Linked DNA regions of Oreochromis niloticus. Each later gene encodes a partner of the first gene's protein in a complex. Links are inferred from orthologs where the notes say so. Each region holds a gene or a part of one and is shown in the gene's direction. Other genes may lie near its edges.

What was found. The genes of interacting proteins can lie anywhere in the genome.
Region 2: nup214 (region 1) and nup85 share a complex: the UniProt entries of both Homo sapiens proteins name them as parts of the nuclear pore complex. The link is inferred for Oreochromis niloticus from reciprocal best matches to the Homo sapiens genes NUP214 and NUP85.

Annotation. Positions count from the first base shown.
Region 1 is NC_031972.2:19,142,319-19,150,952, reverse strand, and holds the start of nup214 (nuclear pore complex protein Nup214), read left to right. Parts: upstream 1-4,915; 5' UTR 4,916-5,107; coding exon 5,108-5,149; intron 5,150-5,842; coding exon 5,843-6,038; intron 6,039-6,180; coding exon 6,181-6,335; intron 6,336-6,464; coding exon 6,465-6,663; intron 6,664-6,756; coding exon 6,757-6,827; intron 6,828-6,917; coding exon 6,918-6,981; intron 6,982-7,186; coding exon 7,187-7,290; intron 7,291-8,634. UniProt on the Homo sapiens protein: Part of the nuclear pore complex. Has a critical role in nucleocytoplasmic transport.
Region 2 is NC_031969.2:17,372,336-17,379,842, forward strand, and holds the start of nup85 (nuclear pore complex protein Nup85), read left to right. Parts: upstream 1-4,507; 5' UTR 4,508-4,790; exon of another isoform or gene 4,791-4,794; intron 4,795-4,890; coding exon 4,891-4,923; intron 4,924-5,306; coding exon 5,307-5,397; intron 5,398-6,039; coding exon 6,040-6,196; intron 6,197-6,338; coding exon 6,339-6,409; intron 6,410-6,572; coding exon 6,573-6,616; intron 6,617-6,903; coding exon 6,904-6,973; intron 6,974-7,063; coding exon 7,064-7,185; intron 7,186-7,317; coding exon 7,318-7,452; intron 7,453-7,507. Other genes in the region: small ubiquitin-related modifier 2, read right to left, coding at 1,558-1,689, 3,958-3,978. UniProt on the Homo sapiens protein: Essential component of the nuclear pore complex (NPC) that seems to be required for NPC assembly and maintenance. As part of the NPC Nup107-160 subcomplex plays a role in RNA export and in tethering NUP96/Nup98 and NUP153 to the nucleus.

The DNA of each region.
Region 1 (8,634 bases):
CTGATCGAGCTGTGACCCAGGATTTACACAGTAACAGTTGGAATGTCTTTCTTTTTGTTGTTGTTGTTTTATTTGTTTTTTGTTTGTTTTTGTTTTTTTAAAACTAAAGAGTGTGCTGTGCCCATGAGCAGAGGAGACTGGATATATGGAGTAGTAAAGAAGTGCACTACACTGGGCGGTAGAAGAACGAATGTTAGAGAGAAGCACTGTTCCACCTCGATGATGTAGTGGTGGTGGTGTGATATGCACCGATACTACGCAGTCCTGCTTCCTACCTGGCTGTTTGTTTGTTTTACTGTTTGTTCTTTTTTTCTTTGGGTGGGTGGGTAAATTATTGAATCAAACTTATAAGAGCAATTTATGCTGGCTTATTGCATTTGCACTCAAAAGAAGGTAAAGGGCCGAGAAGCTGAGGGAGGTAACGTGGACCTTTTTAATTGAGAGGCTGTAACGACAACACCTGAAACGAGTCTCTCTGACAATGACTGTTTCTACGTTTTGGAGAGGGGGTGGGGGGAGCAAAGCAATGTCCAACAGGGACTTTAAACCTGCATTCGTCATACCTGATTTCTTCTTTTTGATATCTGTTTTTTGCCACACAGCCTTTCTTCGTTGTGCCATGCATAGATCTTCCCTATCTCTTTTTTTTCTCCCTATCAGCAAACGAAAGCACAGAGATTCATTTAAGTGAAAGAGAAGCCGCCAACATTTTGGGGAAAGTGGGTTTCTGCTACAGAGAGTGAGAGGTTAAGTTAAGAACTGACAGGCTTAGTACTAATACTATTCTCCAAATATATGCTTTGCCACTTCATGAGCGGGGCCAGACTAGTCTCTGTCTGTGCTCTTGTTTCAGGGTCTGTTAGGGGAAGTTTTAAGATGGCCCTGCACAAGAAACACAGGGTTATAATTGCACTAGGTAGTAACAAAAAGGTTTATAGTGTTTATTTTCTTTGGGAATAAATGCGATCTGCCGTAGATAAAACAAGACTGTGACACGATGGCTGGGATGATGGATGAATGTAATCTGTAGCACTGCTGTGGTGAGGGTCCAAGCTTTGATTTGAGTATAGTAAATTCTACAAAATATGCCATAATATAAAATTAATGTGAGGCTGGGTGGTGTTTAAACCTAAAGCTTTATTGATATAGTGATTTTTTTTTTTTCTTTTTTCAAACCACGAACAGGTCTTCCAGTGTAGTGAACATCGTTATGTGCAAAACTGAGCAAGGTTCACATGCAGTGCAGACTTTTTCCCTCTGTTTATTTGATCTTTTTTTTTAACACAGAGATTTTGCAAATTGTACCTTCATATCATTTTTCGTTTATTATTCTTACAGGTTTTTCTTGCAGGGAAAAAAAGAAAACAATATTCAGTTGTCTATTTGAGCCACTTAAATGTCTGATCACTTCTGGTTATGCCAGTCAGAGTAACAGACTTGAGAAATGGATATGTGTAGCCTTTATTTTGGAAAATATAGAAAGTAGCTGTTATAGCTTCAGAAAAAAAGAGAGAGAAACCTTTCTACTCAGTTGGTAAACTGGGCAATGAGTGTGATATGCTTTGTATTTAATATTTCTCTCTGTGTGTTTTTGTGTAAAATAAATCTTTGATTTTGATCTTTTTGAATAGGCGGACTTTCGCAGAGATACTAAATACATGGGGAATATGAAATCAGCTGCAATTAAAATAAAGCAGTAAATAATAACGGGTGGGAAACATGGATATGTTCCACTGTAGTATTAAAGGGGTGTGGAGCAGTGCCTTAGACTGTGAATGTGTGGGTGTGGATGTGTGCCATTACTTTGTGCTCAGAAGCAAACAAGACCAAGGATCTACTAAATATAGCCAGATAACACTTTTTTTGGGCCATTTTCGAGTTTAAAATTCCAAACTAGTAATTTTTAATCTAATAAATGATATTAATAATGTAGTCATTTATTCACCTTACATTCTTGCTTTATGTTTTCCATCATGTTGGCTCACCAGCCCAGTATTACATATTTACAGCACACCTCTTAAGGAATCTGGTTGAACACCCTTGGAAGAAATTCAAATGAAATCTCATTCGTAGTATAGTCAAGTATAGTCAAACCTGTTCATCAGTTAATCACATTTAAGGTGTGGCGGGCTTTTGTTGTTGTTGTTTGGGGCGGGGGGGTTTTCTTTCTTTTTTTACGCACGGTTTCCTTATCATGCGCCGGTTTTGACCAGCTCATTCACCTTTTCTGCCCCGCTGCAAAACAAAGCCATCAAAAAAAAAAAACAAAGCAGAAAAATAATCCTTTAACAGCACTTGGGGTTTGATCCTTTTCTTGTGCAGGGTAAATGAACGATGTTGCACTATAAATGGAGAATATCATGGTTAACCCTTGGGAAGATTGACGTGGCCAAAAGAGAAAAGTCCAGTTACACGTATGTTATGTATCTGACGTGTTTCTCATTTATATCAAACTTTTAGTTTTTCTTGGATGGTTATTGAATAGAGGGTATTTTATTGCAAATAACTTCTTCCTCACTTTGCATCGGGCTCTGCTCACCCCCACACGGACACTGTAGTTTTTTGTTCCAGTGACTGGCTCATCATGAAAAACAATACATTTATATGCAAAGAGACACTTGTACCATAAAATGCATGCCATTCGCACACTCACCGCAACCCAATGAAACCTCTGATCTTTATGCACCATGTATTTTATGCTGAATAACTCTTGTCACTGTTAGTAAACAAAGATTGAGGTGTCCTGTGGTGAGCAGGGCTGGATTTTTTTATTATACAACCTGGCCTTTCGCTGAATGTTTGCATAAAGCTGAATTTCTTGTATTAATGACAGCAAAGTAGTGACAAAGAGTGGAATACAGAGACCAAGTACACAGTTCAGTGTGTTCACAGCTCAGCACACTCGGAAGAAAATGCACTGAAGGTTTGTATGTGTATTTACGTGTCCTTGTACATAACGCCAGCACTTTAGAACTACTTGGAAAGGTGAAAGGAAAAACACTGAGAGCAACTGGGTGTTAGGCAAATGAGGGGTAAATGCAACTTTTAAAGCCATGTGTTCAGAGCGCTGACAATCAGAATAGGACGAGACCCAAAGTGCACTATGGGAGATACGGTATGACTTGCTATGTGCTCTTGCTGTTTGCTTTGTCTTTCTTCAGCTTGCTTCAGTCTGTGCTAGCTTCCTTTCCAGAGTGGAGGGACATGGTGATGTTATCTCCAGCCTTCTTGGTTATAAGTGTGTGTCTTTACAACCAGGACTGAGTCAAACTTTGGTGCTTTGCAAACAGAGCTGTCCCCATGTTGACATGGACCATATCTGTCATGCTCTGGTAAGCATGTTCTGGAGGTGGTCCTGAGCCCTTTGATGGACAACAACCCTACACCGATCATGGTAATGTTCTTCACTATCAGCTGGGCTTGGATCAGGCAAACTGGGATGGGACAATTTCAGTGTTGATGCCGCTTTATGTTTCAAATGAAAAAGATGTTTATGCGCCTTCTGACTCAAGCATCAATAATATATACAACAGAAATGCAAGTTGCCACTTTTGATGTAATCTACCTTTCATTCCCATCATATTTGCCATCACCAGTTTTAAGTTGTATAGTCCAAGAGTACCCAATTTCTTTAAATGCAATACAGAAAAATCTGCTTTCTAATAAAAGTCCTTACTTCACCATATACTGTCTTTTGTCTCTCTTTGCGTTTGCCAAAGTACCTACAAAAGGATGCACTTGAAATATATTTTTCTCTGGAAGTTGCAATTTATTGTAGCTCTGCATGGCTTCAAACATGTAAGTAATGAGATTCCAGCAGAAAGAAGACAAATTAGTGACAATAATAATTCTCACTGTCTGTGCCACTGAGCTGTGAAATGCTTGTGTCATTAAAATGGTGTTAAATTTTGCTGGATGAGTCACTGGAGTCCCTTCAAAGATGAATGTAACATACAGTATACAGCCAGTTTTATTTCATAAAGGCACAGGTTTAGAATTGCAGGCAACACTGGATCGATCCAAATCAACCATCTTAACCTAAGCATTTCATCTTTATGATATATAAATATTTATATGTACTGGGGGGGGCTCTTATTAAGCTACCACTCATTCTTACAATCTTTTTTAAAATTTATTTTGCTATGAAAATGAGAAATACTGAAGATGCAGCAGTTTATTGAAACATGCATGAATATATGGTATGTGAGGTGAAAGAATGTGTTCAACTCTAACAAGATTGAAAGTCGGTATTTGGTATGACTACTTTTATCCTTGAATACAGCCTGAACTCTTGTAAATTCTTGAACTAGTCTTCAAGGATCGTTCTCCAGGATTCTTGAAGGACAATCAGAGCTCTCCTTTGCTGGCTTAGCTGGCTTTTATTCCATTCCCTGACAGCCACCAGTCCATTTAGATAATTTATGCTGAAGCTTCGAACAGTAGAATTGTAGATTAACTATTAGCCAACACTATTATAAGTTTTGGTTAATGGCTCATGGAAATCACTTTGTTGGTGGAAAAAGTGCTATTATATTACTGTAAAAAGTGTGACCTTTTTAACAGTAAGTAAAAAAAATGCATAAAAGTTATGTTTTCGTATACACACACGTGTGGGTATGTATGTATACATATATGTATATATATACATATATATACACACACACACACACACACATATACAGTACATATATGTATATACAAACTTACACACAAACATAACTTTTATGCACTTTTTTACTTACTATTAAAAAGGTAAAATATATACCTTTAATTATATATATATATATATATATATATATATATATATATATATATATATATATATATATATATATATACACACACACACACACACACACACACATGCCTTTCACTCAACCTTTAATTGCAACTCTGGAACATACGCGACTGTATGAGCTCGTGTTCCCGCAAGCTGCTCTGGTATCTACTCGTCATCCTAGCTGGTTTTTGTTTTTTCTACGGAAAAATCGCGCGGTGTGTGTTTAGTTGTCCTGATGTAGCTAACCAAAACTTTCTGTGGTACATACTAGCAAGAAATAAACGAATACAGCAGGTCTTTTGGAAGAAAAACCCTCAAAATTTCACAATGAGTGACGATGCGGACTCCCCTCCTGAGAGGGAAATGAAGGTATGTCTCTGTTAAAGTTGACTTGACAGGTTAGCATGTGTAAGTTACCGTGTCAGTTCATCCTCAATGTAGTGGCTAGTTTAGCTAGCTAGCTAGCTAAACAAGCCACTTGTCGTGGGTTATGTTTTCTGGTTTAGGTATCCTTAGCCTCACGATATTTACTGAACTGTAATGACTACTTTGATACGATAAAACATTAGAGACTTTCACAGCGGTTTAAAAGCATTTAAATTAAAAGTAGTTACGGCAGTTTCATTCATGCCATATTTTTAGCCCGCTACTTAGGGTTAGCACCGTAGCCGGTGTGATGTTGTGCTTGTAAAGTTAAACGCCGCTGTGTTGGGTGGATTCGTCCTATTAAATTATGCATTTGTAAAATAACGTGTTCTAACACACGTTGCATTTTTTTTATGTTTAAGTTTTATGTATTGCTGTAATATTACAACAAGCCTTGCACCGATAGCTAACACGATATTGTAACGTGTTAGCATTGTGCTAATTGAGAGGCATTACAAACATTTGGCTTTGAGATCACCCTTCAGGCTCACCAGCTAGCTTGTCAACAATGTTTATTTACAGTTTGTATTATTCTGTCTCAAAGACGCTGCGTTTGCATTTACCTAAGTGGACCCACAGTTGTTAACAGTTCATAACAGTTTACCATGAAATGAAAGTGTTTGCCTTTCGTTTTAGGATTTTCAGTTTCGTCAGATGAAGAAAGTCAGAGTGTTTGAGCCCACCGAAGATTTGCCAAAAGACAGATCCAGCCTCCTTGCCATCTCAAATAAGTATGGCTTAACTTTTGTGGGGCTTGACAGAACTTTCAAGGTGTACTTAACTCGAGATATTCTGGCTGCTGATAAAGGTGATGGCAACTCCAACGAAATAGGTATGAATCCACTACAGTTTTAAATAGTGCAATAATGACAGGTTAAAAACACAATGTTGTCATGACTGATACACCACATGTTTTATGTCATTAATAATTTTTGCTGTTTCACTGTCCACTAACATCTTCTTCCGTATTTTAGTCAAAGGAATACCAGTACTGGCTGAAGTGACCGTGGAACTAGTTTTGCACCACTTGGCTCTCAGTTGTGATGAGCTCACACTGTCCGTGTGTGGCATGTCTGAGGAAGCTGGCTTGTCACTCACATTCTATGATGTCCGCACGTTCATGAACAAGGTAGTTATTTCAGTCTGTCTACCTAATGTGCTAACACAGTCGAACAGCTGCTGCCAAATTTCACCTTGTCTGTTAAATGTAATGATGTTGTCTGATTTTTGTTTTAATTTGCATTCTTTGCTTTTCCAGGGAAAACTACAGAAGCTACCATTTGCATTCCACCAACCAGCTGTAGCACCTGACGTCTTAGTGCAGGACCTGAAGTGGAATCCTGTGCAGGTGTCTGTGTTGGCTGTCTGCCTCTCTGATGGCAGTATAATGATTTTGGATGTTACTGACAGTGTCAATGTGCAGGCCAGGCTGCCTTCTTCAAGTGGAATTACCTGCAGTGAGTGACACTCTTGACATAATTGCTAAATTTATCTGCAGTCCATATCGGTGATGTGGCTCAGTAGTCGTTTACTTGCTTTGTTTACCACAGTTTGCTGGAGTCCAAAGGGAAAGCAAGTAGCAGCTGGAAAAATGGATGGTACAGTCACGCAATATACACCAGTAAGTTATTATAATAATTTTGAATTAAAAGCAAATTGCTTAACAGCCTGTGGAAGCTACAGGAACAGATTTTTCTCCTCTGTTTTAAAGGGACTGGAGGAAAAGAAAGTTATCCCATGTCCACAGTTCTTCACCCCTGGCGAACCTGTAAAAGGTAAGGTAGCCATACCTATGTATATAAATTTAAACTATGAAAATGGTCCATACACTAAGGTTTTTATCTTGGTGGTGATAGATTAGTAATAGATTGCAATGATTCCATAAAATATTTCAAATTGTATAGGAAAAGGAGGAGCTGAGTCTTGCTGTTTCGTTGATGTTCCAATTTCTTGTCTCTCTTTCCTATTTGTCTCTCACAGCTGTGGATGTACTGTGGCTGAAAACCTATGTGTTTGCAGTAGCATATGCTGCTGGAGATGGCTCACTTGAGACCCCCCCTGAGCTAGTGTTGATCTCACTCCCAGTAAGTATGCCAGGCATTGGTTTTTAGATAGATTTTTATCTGGGTTTATCAGGTTTATAAGACTCTGGTTCTACTGTCGAACTGCTGATCAGAGTATGAAGCTCAGTTAAGACCATTTATGGGTACTGGGGGAAAAAATCATCACTGCAGCTCAGTTATGGAGAAAGGAGTTAAATTCATTATCCACATTTTCATCTTTTACCAAACTTGAATTTTCCTTGCTTGCGTTTCTAAGTTTTATCACATACATTTTAAAATGTATTTATATATCAGCAACATGACAGTGATAACAATTCAAGTAACAGAGTTAAACACATGTATCTAGCAGATTAGTTATTGATCCGTGAAGTGTGTGAAAAAGATAACCAAGGTTCAAACTGTAACAGTTCAATTTATACTCAAAATATAAATGCACAGCAGTTTTTAAACATTGTTTACAAATATATTTGTGTATTTATGTTTAACATAAATACATTTAGATTATGGTTAGGAATTCATTAGAGCTGCTTTTAAGTCTGGAAATCTACAAGTCATTTGATCACAGTCATCTTTATTCAGAAATATTCACATCATCCCCACATGAAGTGAAACAGAGCTGGAATGATCCAGCAAACTGATCATCACGATCTAATTGTTCATCATTAGTGTTTTATGCCTCCAGAGCTTTATACAGGTTTTAATAATTAAACAGGGATTAATACAGAAATGTTTCAGTGCAAAGAAAATGACCACAGAAGAAAAGCAAAGAATAACAGTGTTGATTGTTTTTTTTTCCTCCTGATTTTGAACCTTTATCAGGTAGCTCAGTGGTTGCCATTGACAGCCATGAGTACCAAAAGAAACTTCACAGCATTTTGGCATACAGTATTCCTGTATGCCTGGCACAACCAGTCTAGAGGCATGAGAGTGCAAGCGGGTCAGTCAGTGAAGACATTTCTATGACACATCTGTGAAGGAACTTAGATTTCCAGATGGTAGAAATAAAGATTTAAAACCAAAAAGAACTGCTTATTCCTATGAATCTGTGATTTATTTATTTATTTTTTCCTTAGGCTTCCGTTTCAGTGTATGTAGTTCTGGTGCTCTGATGATATCACAGCTGTGCATGCAATGACCAGTGCTTTGACCATAATTGGGCTTTTGTGCTTTCTTTTCGTATTTACACTACTGTGCAAAAGTCTTGAGTCACCACTCATTTCTTCATATTTTGCTTCCAGCTAGACTTTTTTTTTTTTTTAAATGACAGAGAAAGCATTATGCAGGCTCTCTGAATGTATTTCAAGGTTTTTCTTTGGACATTGGCTGCTTTTCCACTCTTTTTTTTTTTTTTCCCCTGTCCAGTCC
Region 2 (7,507 bases), on another chromosome or scaffold:
TGGCTGTACTTTTAAAAAAAGAGCTGTGTGACAAACATCTCTTTTACCCTGATGGGAGTCCAAGGAACAGATAACACTGTGATTGGGTTTCCATTCTTCCACAAAGTTGAACCCTTATTTGACTTTCAAATAAAAAGGATCTCAGACCTCATGTTCTATTACATATTTTTTTACTTTTGTGCACAGCTCTTTTAGAAAACCTTGGGAATTGCTTTTGTAGCAATGCAAACACAGCTGCAATTAATAGAGAATCAGAGTGATGCTCAGTGCAGTGCTAATTCATACAAAAGTCAAAATTCCTGCATGCCATTACAGCAAGTAGCTTGGCAGAGAACAGCTTAAAATCTGAGCTAATCCATAACAGCAGGAGGAAAAGATTAGATGTCTTCTGCGATTACTGTGAAATCACAGATGACGATAAGGGAGGTTCATTTAAGGGATGCAAGAGCCACGTAAAGCGTTAAAGCTACGCTATCAAGGTGGTATTTGCATTAAAGCTGTAGACCTTAACTGCATTTGAGGAGGAAGAGAAGAACTGCAATAGAAACCTTTTCAAGGAAAAGTGAAACAACAACTGTGATGAGTTACTGTCTGATGGATGGATGGATCTTTTAGCACGTGATGTGTCTGTTAAATGTGATTAAAGTATTTGAGACTTTTGGCCAAGCTTTAGCTGTCAGACAAACGGCCTGTGGCTCTGTGGCTTAAAAACAAACCCAAATCGTGACCCCTCCACCTCGCTTAATAGTTGGCATGAGTTAATCAAGTACAAGTTGATTAGCAACACCTGGCTGCTACTTGTCCCCTTGATCCCTATTGAAGTAGTAAAGGTGTACTTAGTTTTTCAGAGGATCGCACATAGTCCTATGAAAACCTTCTTTTTAAAATGCCTGCATATATTTTACGGTAAATTTTAAGATGCCCTGGCATAACTGCTTTTTTTGGCATCTAGAATACAAACATATAATCTGCAGTCATTAAATGCATGTGTGAAAAGTGTCAAAGAATTGAAAGTAAATGGTTTAATTGTATCCTATTCGGTTGTAAAACACGATTAACTGTGTGCAAACTTCAAAGTCGGGCCTCTAAAACATTAAGTAACTCCAGTAATGATTTCCTTATGATGTTAAAACAGCATAACCTGTAAGCACTTGCAAGCCTTGCTCCACAGAGGGCAGGCAACTCTCCCAGTAAATGTTATTTCTATACACCCGTGTCTTTTTGCCAACTGTAAATGGTGTGCAGCGATGCAGGGTAAAGGTCAATTAAAAGAAAGCAGGATTATTGTTAATAACACCTAAACATGTTATTTAGAATACAATCCAACAGCTAACTATCAATTACATCAAGTGTATATATGATTAGTAGCAGAGGTGTACAGAGGAGCACTCGACAGATATTTCTGGGGAAATAATACTCCAAGTCGAGTTCCCCCCATGTGGTGAGAACAGAAAATAACAAGGAGTCTATTTAACTGTAGCTACACTCTGCTTATAAAGATCTATGCCCATTTAGGAAATGATCAGTGTTAGTGTAATGCCTCAGGGCCATAATCACCTGTCTCTCGCAGTAGGCCTTCATGAGTTTGATGAGCGGTGTGTGTCTTTTGATCTTGAACTGCACTACAGATCCATCCTGACCCGCTACCTTCAGGTTTATGTGTTCATTGTTTTCTGTCTTCACTGATTCCTGAGGGATAAAAGCACAGAGAGAAACACAGTGAAGGAACAAAAAAAAATGACTTTGACTAACCAGAACATTGCACTAGTTACAGGTTTGCAGGGGGAAAAGGCTGCACGGTATTTTCTGTTATTATTAAATGCGTAATTTCAGTCCCTTTAGTGCCTTCGGTGGTCTTTTAATTTTGCAGAAGCGTGATGAAATAATGAATTCACACCTAAACAGCTCACCAGGTGGCTAGGGAAGAATATTGGCAAGAGCTTATTAATATCCATGACATTATCAATTGTGCTAATTCTTTATTGATTCTTGATCAATTTTCTTTTGGAGGAAGAAAGCAGGCAAATGTCAGTATCAACCCAGCCGTGTCATTATCGCCAAAACAGAGTAGGAAAAGACTGAGCTGTACAAAAGCAGCACTGCTATGAGTTTGACTTCACTTTCACAATGTGTAACTGCCAGAAAGATATGTCAGCATCCATAAAAGGAAGGTTGATAAGCCCAAAGGCGTAAAATTCCCCAGGACTGGAGAATGCGCGACCAGTTTGATTTGCATATTTTGAAATTGTTTAGATATACAGTGCTGTGCAAAAGTGTTGAGCCACCACTCATTTCTTATATTTTGTTAGGATAATGGCAAATAGTTGCAGCAATTTATTGAAACATGCAAACGTATTTGAGAATACAGTATGAGCTTGAAAATCAATATTTCATATGACCAGACTTTATTGTTCCAACACAGCCTGAACTCTCCAAGGAAAGCCTTCTTGTAATTTCTTTAAGTAGTCTAGGTAGTTATCCAAGGTTCTTGAAGGACATTCAAAGCTCTTCTTTGGATGTTGACTGCTTTTTGGTCTAATCTCTTTCAACATGATGCTACACTATTTCAATAATGTTGAGGTTCAGGTTCTGGGGAGACCAACCCATCACCGACATTGTGTTCCACTGTTTTTAAAAAAAATTATTTTCTTTTTTATCCAAGGTGTGCTTTTACTGCGCTCAAAAATGAGCCTTTTGCCAATCAGATGCTTTCCAGATGATTACACGGTGGATCAAAATCTGACGGTACTTTTCTGTGTTTCCATCAGCTGTGACAAGATCCCCCAACACCATTGGCTGAAATGCAGACCCAAACCATGACAGAGCCTCCACTGTGTTTGACAGATGGATGTAGACACTCACTGCTGTACCTCTCTCTTGACCTCCTCTGTACATATTGATGATTTAAATCAAAAAAAATTATAAATCTCAGTTCTTGTCTAATTTTGATACCTCAGCTTTTTCTCCTCGTTTTTCTCTTCCTTGAAAATGGCTTCTTGCCATTTCTGATGAGGCTTCAGAGGACAGTAGATGGATCATCTGAAGGTCCAGGTGCATGCCTCAGGTCCTGTGTCAGGTTTTTGCCGAATTTTTCCCATTTCTTATGGGCATGAATTTCAGATGCTGATCATCTGTTCATCTTAAAGTCTGTAACCTTTTTTGTCCTCCACTTGTCCAATTTCCTAAAATGTAAGGACACACTGTACACAGTGCTGAGATATGCTAGGTCTTTTCCCAAAGTGGGAATCACTTTGTTGGTGCAAAAACACAATTTTAAGCCTTTTGTGGCATAAAAAAAGTAAGTTAAAGAAATGTGTTTTCCAAATAGGAAAAAACACGAAAGACCTGGAAAACTTGGGTATGATCACTGAGTAGGCAAAACAGAGAGTAATGAGGGATGGCTCAAGACTTTTGCACAATACTGTATACAAACTATTTCTCGGATTAAACAAAATTTAAAATTTAAAAAATTTAAATCTTAAATCCTCCCTTTTCGCTTCGCCTGCAGACTCAGAGTGAGCCTGAGATCACCACAGTGATGATTCATATAGTTTCAGTGGCACCAACAGATTCTCACCGGTACACTCTCCCACAGTGGCACAAGCCATTCACACATGCAAGAACGCAAACGCAAACGCAAACACACACACACACACACACAAACACACACACACACACACACACACACACACAGGCGAAATGAGGCATGCAGTGGGGATGACACCAGCTGGTTGGCTGTGTGTTATCAAGCAGAAAGAGGTCCGCGCGCCATTGGATGCGCGTTCACAAACCTTCCGGTCTATCAAAGTAGGTACAGCTAGTAGTTGAATTTCAGCTTGTAACTTTGCAAAAAGGCACAGCGAAACATGCGGAAATAACCGTATTTCTACACACGCACGTGTCAAAAAAAATCAGGCGGAGTAAACTGGCATTTCAATCCACTGTGGAGACACTCACCTTTGGTTTTTCATCAGCCATGGTCACTCTTTTGGCGCTTCTCTACACTGCCACACAAAGAACACGAGTACGCGCACGTACACGTGCCCGTTTAGACTATTACAACCGAACGTGCGCGGCCACGCGCCCATGCGCGTCCACCTCAACGAGCGTTGAGTGGACACCGAGTAGTCACGAGGTTGAAAGCGCAGTCTGGGCAAGGGCGGGAGAGTCACAATGCGCGTTAAAGAGGCAGGCAGATGCACGTGCACGCGCACGGCGATGTTTTCCCTTTTGTTTTCAGGTTTTGAGAAGCGGTTATCTCATTAAATACCCCTTATCGCCCTGCTGAGCTCGCATGGGTGCAGCATAGTTCAGTCAGCATCACCACACATGATCCTCACTGCATGGGGAGAGCCAAATGTGCACTTTTCCATTTCCTTTTTCGTTTTAACCCTTTAAATACCAGTGGCCATCTTGTTTTTTTGTTTTTGCCTGATGGTGATGTGTAGGTGTACTGAACCAATGGTGGCCTTTACGAACTCAAACTGTAACAGTACAGGGCAAAGCTGCACTGATTCTTCACAGATTCAATTGGAGACATTAGTGTGGGTAGCATGTTTGTGGATAGCAAAAGACAAACCCAGCTTCTTAATGCTGGTAATGACCTCTCGTAGGTGAGTCCGGGGAGGCAGTTATAAAGTTAGTGATAAGCTGTATTTTCTGCATTTGTCGCGATAAATCCAAAATCCCGAGTCAAGCTCAGCCGACGGAAAAACAGGCAGGTAGACGGGCACCCCTTTCGGTGACATCGTAACGCATGCGCAGCAGGTGCTTTCGACTGAAAGAGCGAGGCGCGTAAGCAGTACCGGTCCACATTTGCAGTTCATGGCGTGTTTATAGCCAAAAAAGTTCACATTGTTGTCTTTTCTGTGTCGATGATATTGTTCCCAGATGGAGGAGGTAGACGTTGAGCCCACTATTACTGTAAGTAGCCACTGTAGCTTAGTGCTTTTAACTCCTCATTGGCACTAAATGGCTTTGCTAACAGGCTAACTTTCGCAAACACCTATTTTAACGACCCGTTTGAATATTTATATTGTAAGTTGTCAAGAAATGGAAAGGGGCACACACTCAGCCATGTCACAAGTATAAAAGTGGCAAGATTATAAGAAGATGAGTTAGAATTACGAGCAGCATTAACTACAGTTTGAGTTAGTAATATAGCTAGACCATGTCTCAGTCACCACTCAACCTTCTCACATAATATTATAATTAAATCTGAAACGGAATGATTTAATTTTAACCCTCATCATGTTATTCACATCATTTTCAGTGTAGTAACAGTGTTTCTCCTTTTTTAATTGCAGAATATCCCTGCAATCAGTGATGGAAAGCACATGGGATTTGCATGGGGTCCTGGTGATATTCTTGTATATGAGACACTATACAAAGCATCAGGTATGTTTCAAAATTAGCACAGGACACCATGTATGCTTTCACAGTTTCCCTCTGTTTCTCCTTTTCTTTTTAAGAGAATGAATGGTGTAGTGAATGCCTGTGAAATGTCTGCTACAATGTTGTGAAAAAGTATTTTCCGCTTGTTGATGTCTTATTTTTTTTTTGCGTGTTTGTCACACTTACATGTTTCATATTATCAAACACATTTTGATTTTTGATGACCAGATGAAATATAAAAGGCAATCAGTGCTATCAGGCCCTGTTGTTGTGTTTTGTTTTGTTTTTGTTTTTTTCTTAAAAAGGTAATTGCCCCCAAACTTAGTAACTGACTGTGCCACTGTTGGCAGCAAGTAATGCAATCAAGCATTTGGGATAACTGGCAGCGAGTCTTTCACATCGCTGTACCCACTCATCTTGGCAGAATTGTTTTAATTTAGTTTATTGTTTAGGTAACTTTTTCATAGCACTGTTTGATGTGTTTTACTATAGTTTTTATGATTACTTTTAGACATGTGCATATATACATTTTTCAATAAACATATTTTGAGCCATTTTTTTCAGACATTTAAATTTTGTTTTATATGTGTAATGACAATAACTATAATATTACTGTTGTTCTTTCACCACCTGCCTTTGTTTCAGGTGCTTCAGGATCAGGTTGCTCATTCATCCATGAGATCAGGAAAGATGAGGACATATATTCCCCCATTTTACGCAAGCTTTTTAACGAGTCTCACCACATCTTCGTCGGCCTGCAGACAATTAGAGAGGAACTCCCTAGCAAGAGTAAAAAACCCCAGTAAGGACGCGTGGTGCAATCCCACCTCTGTTTGTTCATATTGTTGGATTGCATATCGGTGGCATAACAATAGTTGAAAAAGTCACACAAAGCAGCACCCACTTTGTATGTTTTACAATTTTACCTCTGCCTTACTCCTTAGATTTGTTAGTATCAGCAAAAATTATCGATCCGTGATCCGTGCTTGTATGGAGGAACTTCAGCAAGTTGCAGGTAATACTGTTGAAATATACTTCTTTTGGCAAAAAATTTCAATTTGATGTAACCATAAAAGTTTTGGCAGTTTTTTCAAATTTCTATTTTATAGTCTTGTTTATACAATAAAAACAAAGGAAATGTGTGTGATTACTCACTAAACAACTTTTCCTTTTTGCAGTTTCTACCAGAAATGTAGAGTTGGCCACTCAGTGTGGAAATCAGGTAAGTACTAATGTTTGTGTGGCAGTAACGTTATCTGGACTAGTCCACATACAGAGCATGTGTGAGTGTCTCTGTCAGTAATTGACTAATAATGTCATGATTTAATTGAGTAGCGTGGCACAGCTCTGTGGGTTTTATGACCACAGTCAAACTGCCTGTATTTGAAAGGGGACATTAATGCTCAGTTAGTGAGGAAGAATCCACATTCAGTTTTTTACTCAGATGTACATTTCGTTGCATTGTTTAGTGGCATTATCCTGACCCTGATCTGCTTTGTTTTGTTAAAGGTGTCCATTCTTTTGGCCATAGAACTGATCTGGAATCTGTGTGAAGTGCTGTTCATCGATGCTGCTCCAGGTTGGAATCCGCATCTTATGACTGGATTTTTGGGGTTGTAGAAACACCCAAACAAACGTATCTGCAACATGGCTGTGTCTGTGTTTTCAGCAGGCTCCCTGTTGCTCCACCTGCTGGACTGGGTAAGGTTACATAAGGCTGACGTGGACGAGAGGGCCAGAGAGGTGCTCCAAAGTGAGAGCCCTGCTGAGCACCACGACTACTGGGACGTGGTAGGTGCAGCATGTTACATCTTTAAAATTACATCTCCACTGTTGGTGTTCTGCATTTGCTGCTTCATCTGTGTTTTGTCTGTTATGAATTCTCTGGAGAGACCTGAGTGATCACATGTGTGTGCTGTGCAGGTGGTGAGTTATGTGCTGCAGGGCAGGTTGGAAGAAGTCAGACAGATGCTGGTGAAACAGGGCACCTTACAGCCTGCTGCCAGGAGCATGTACAAGCAGATGGATACCTTGCTCAGCAAGATGCCCTTCTACAATGTAAGATGAAAATGCAGTGGTTTATTTCCTTTGAATGATAGCTGAAATTGTTTTA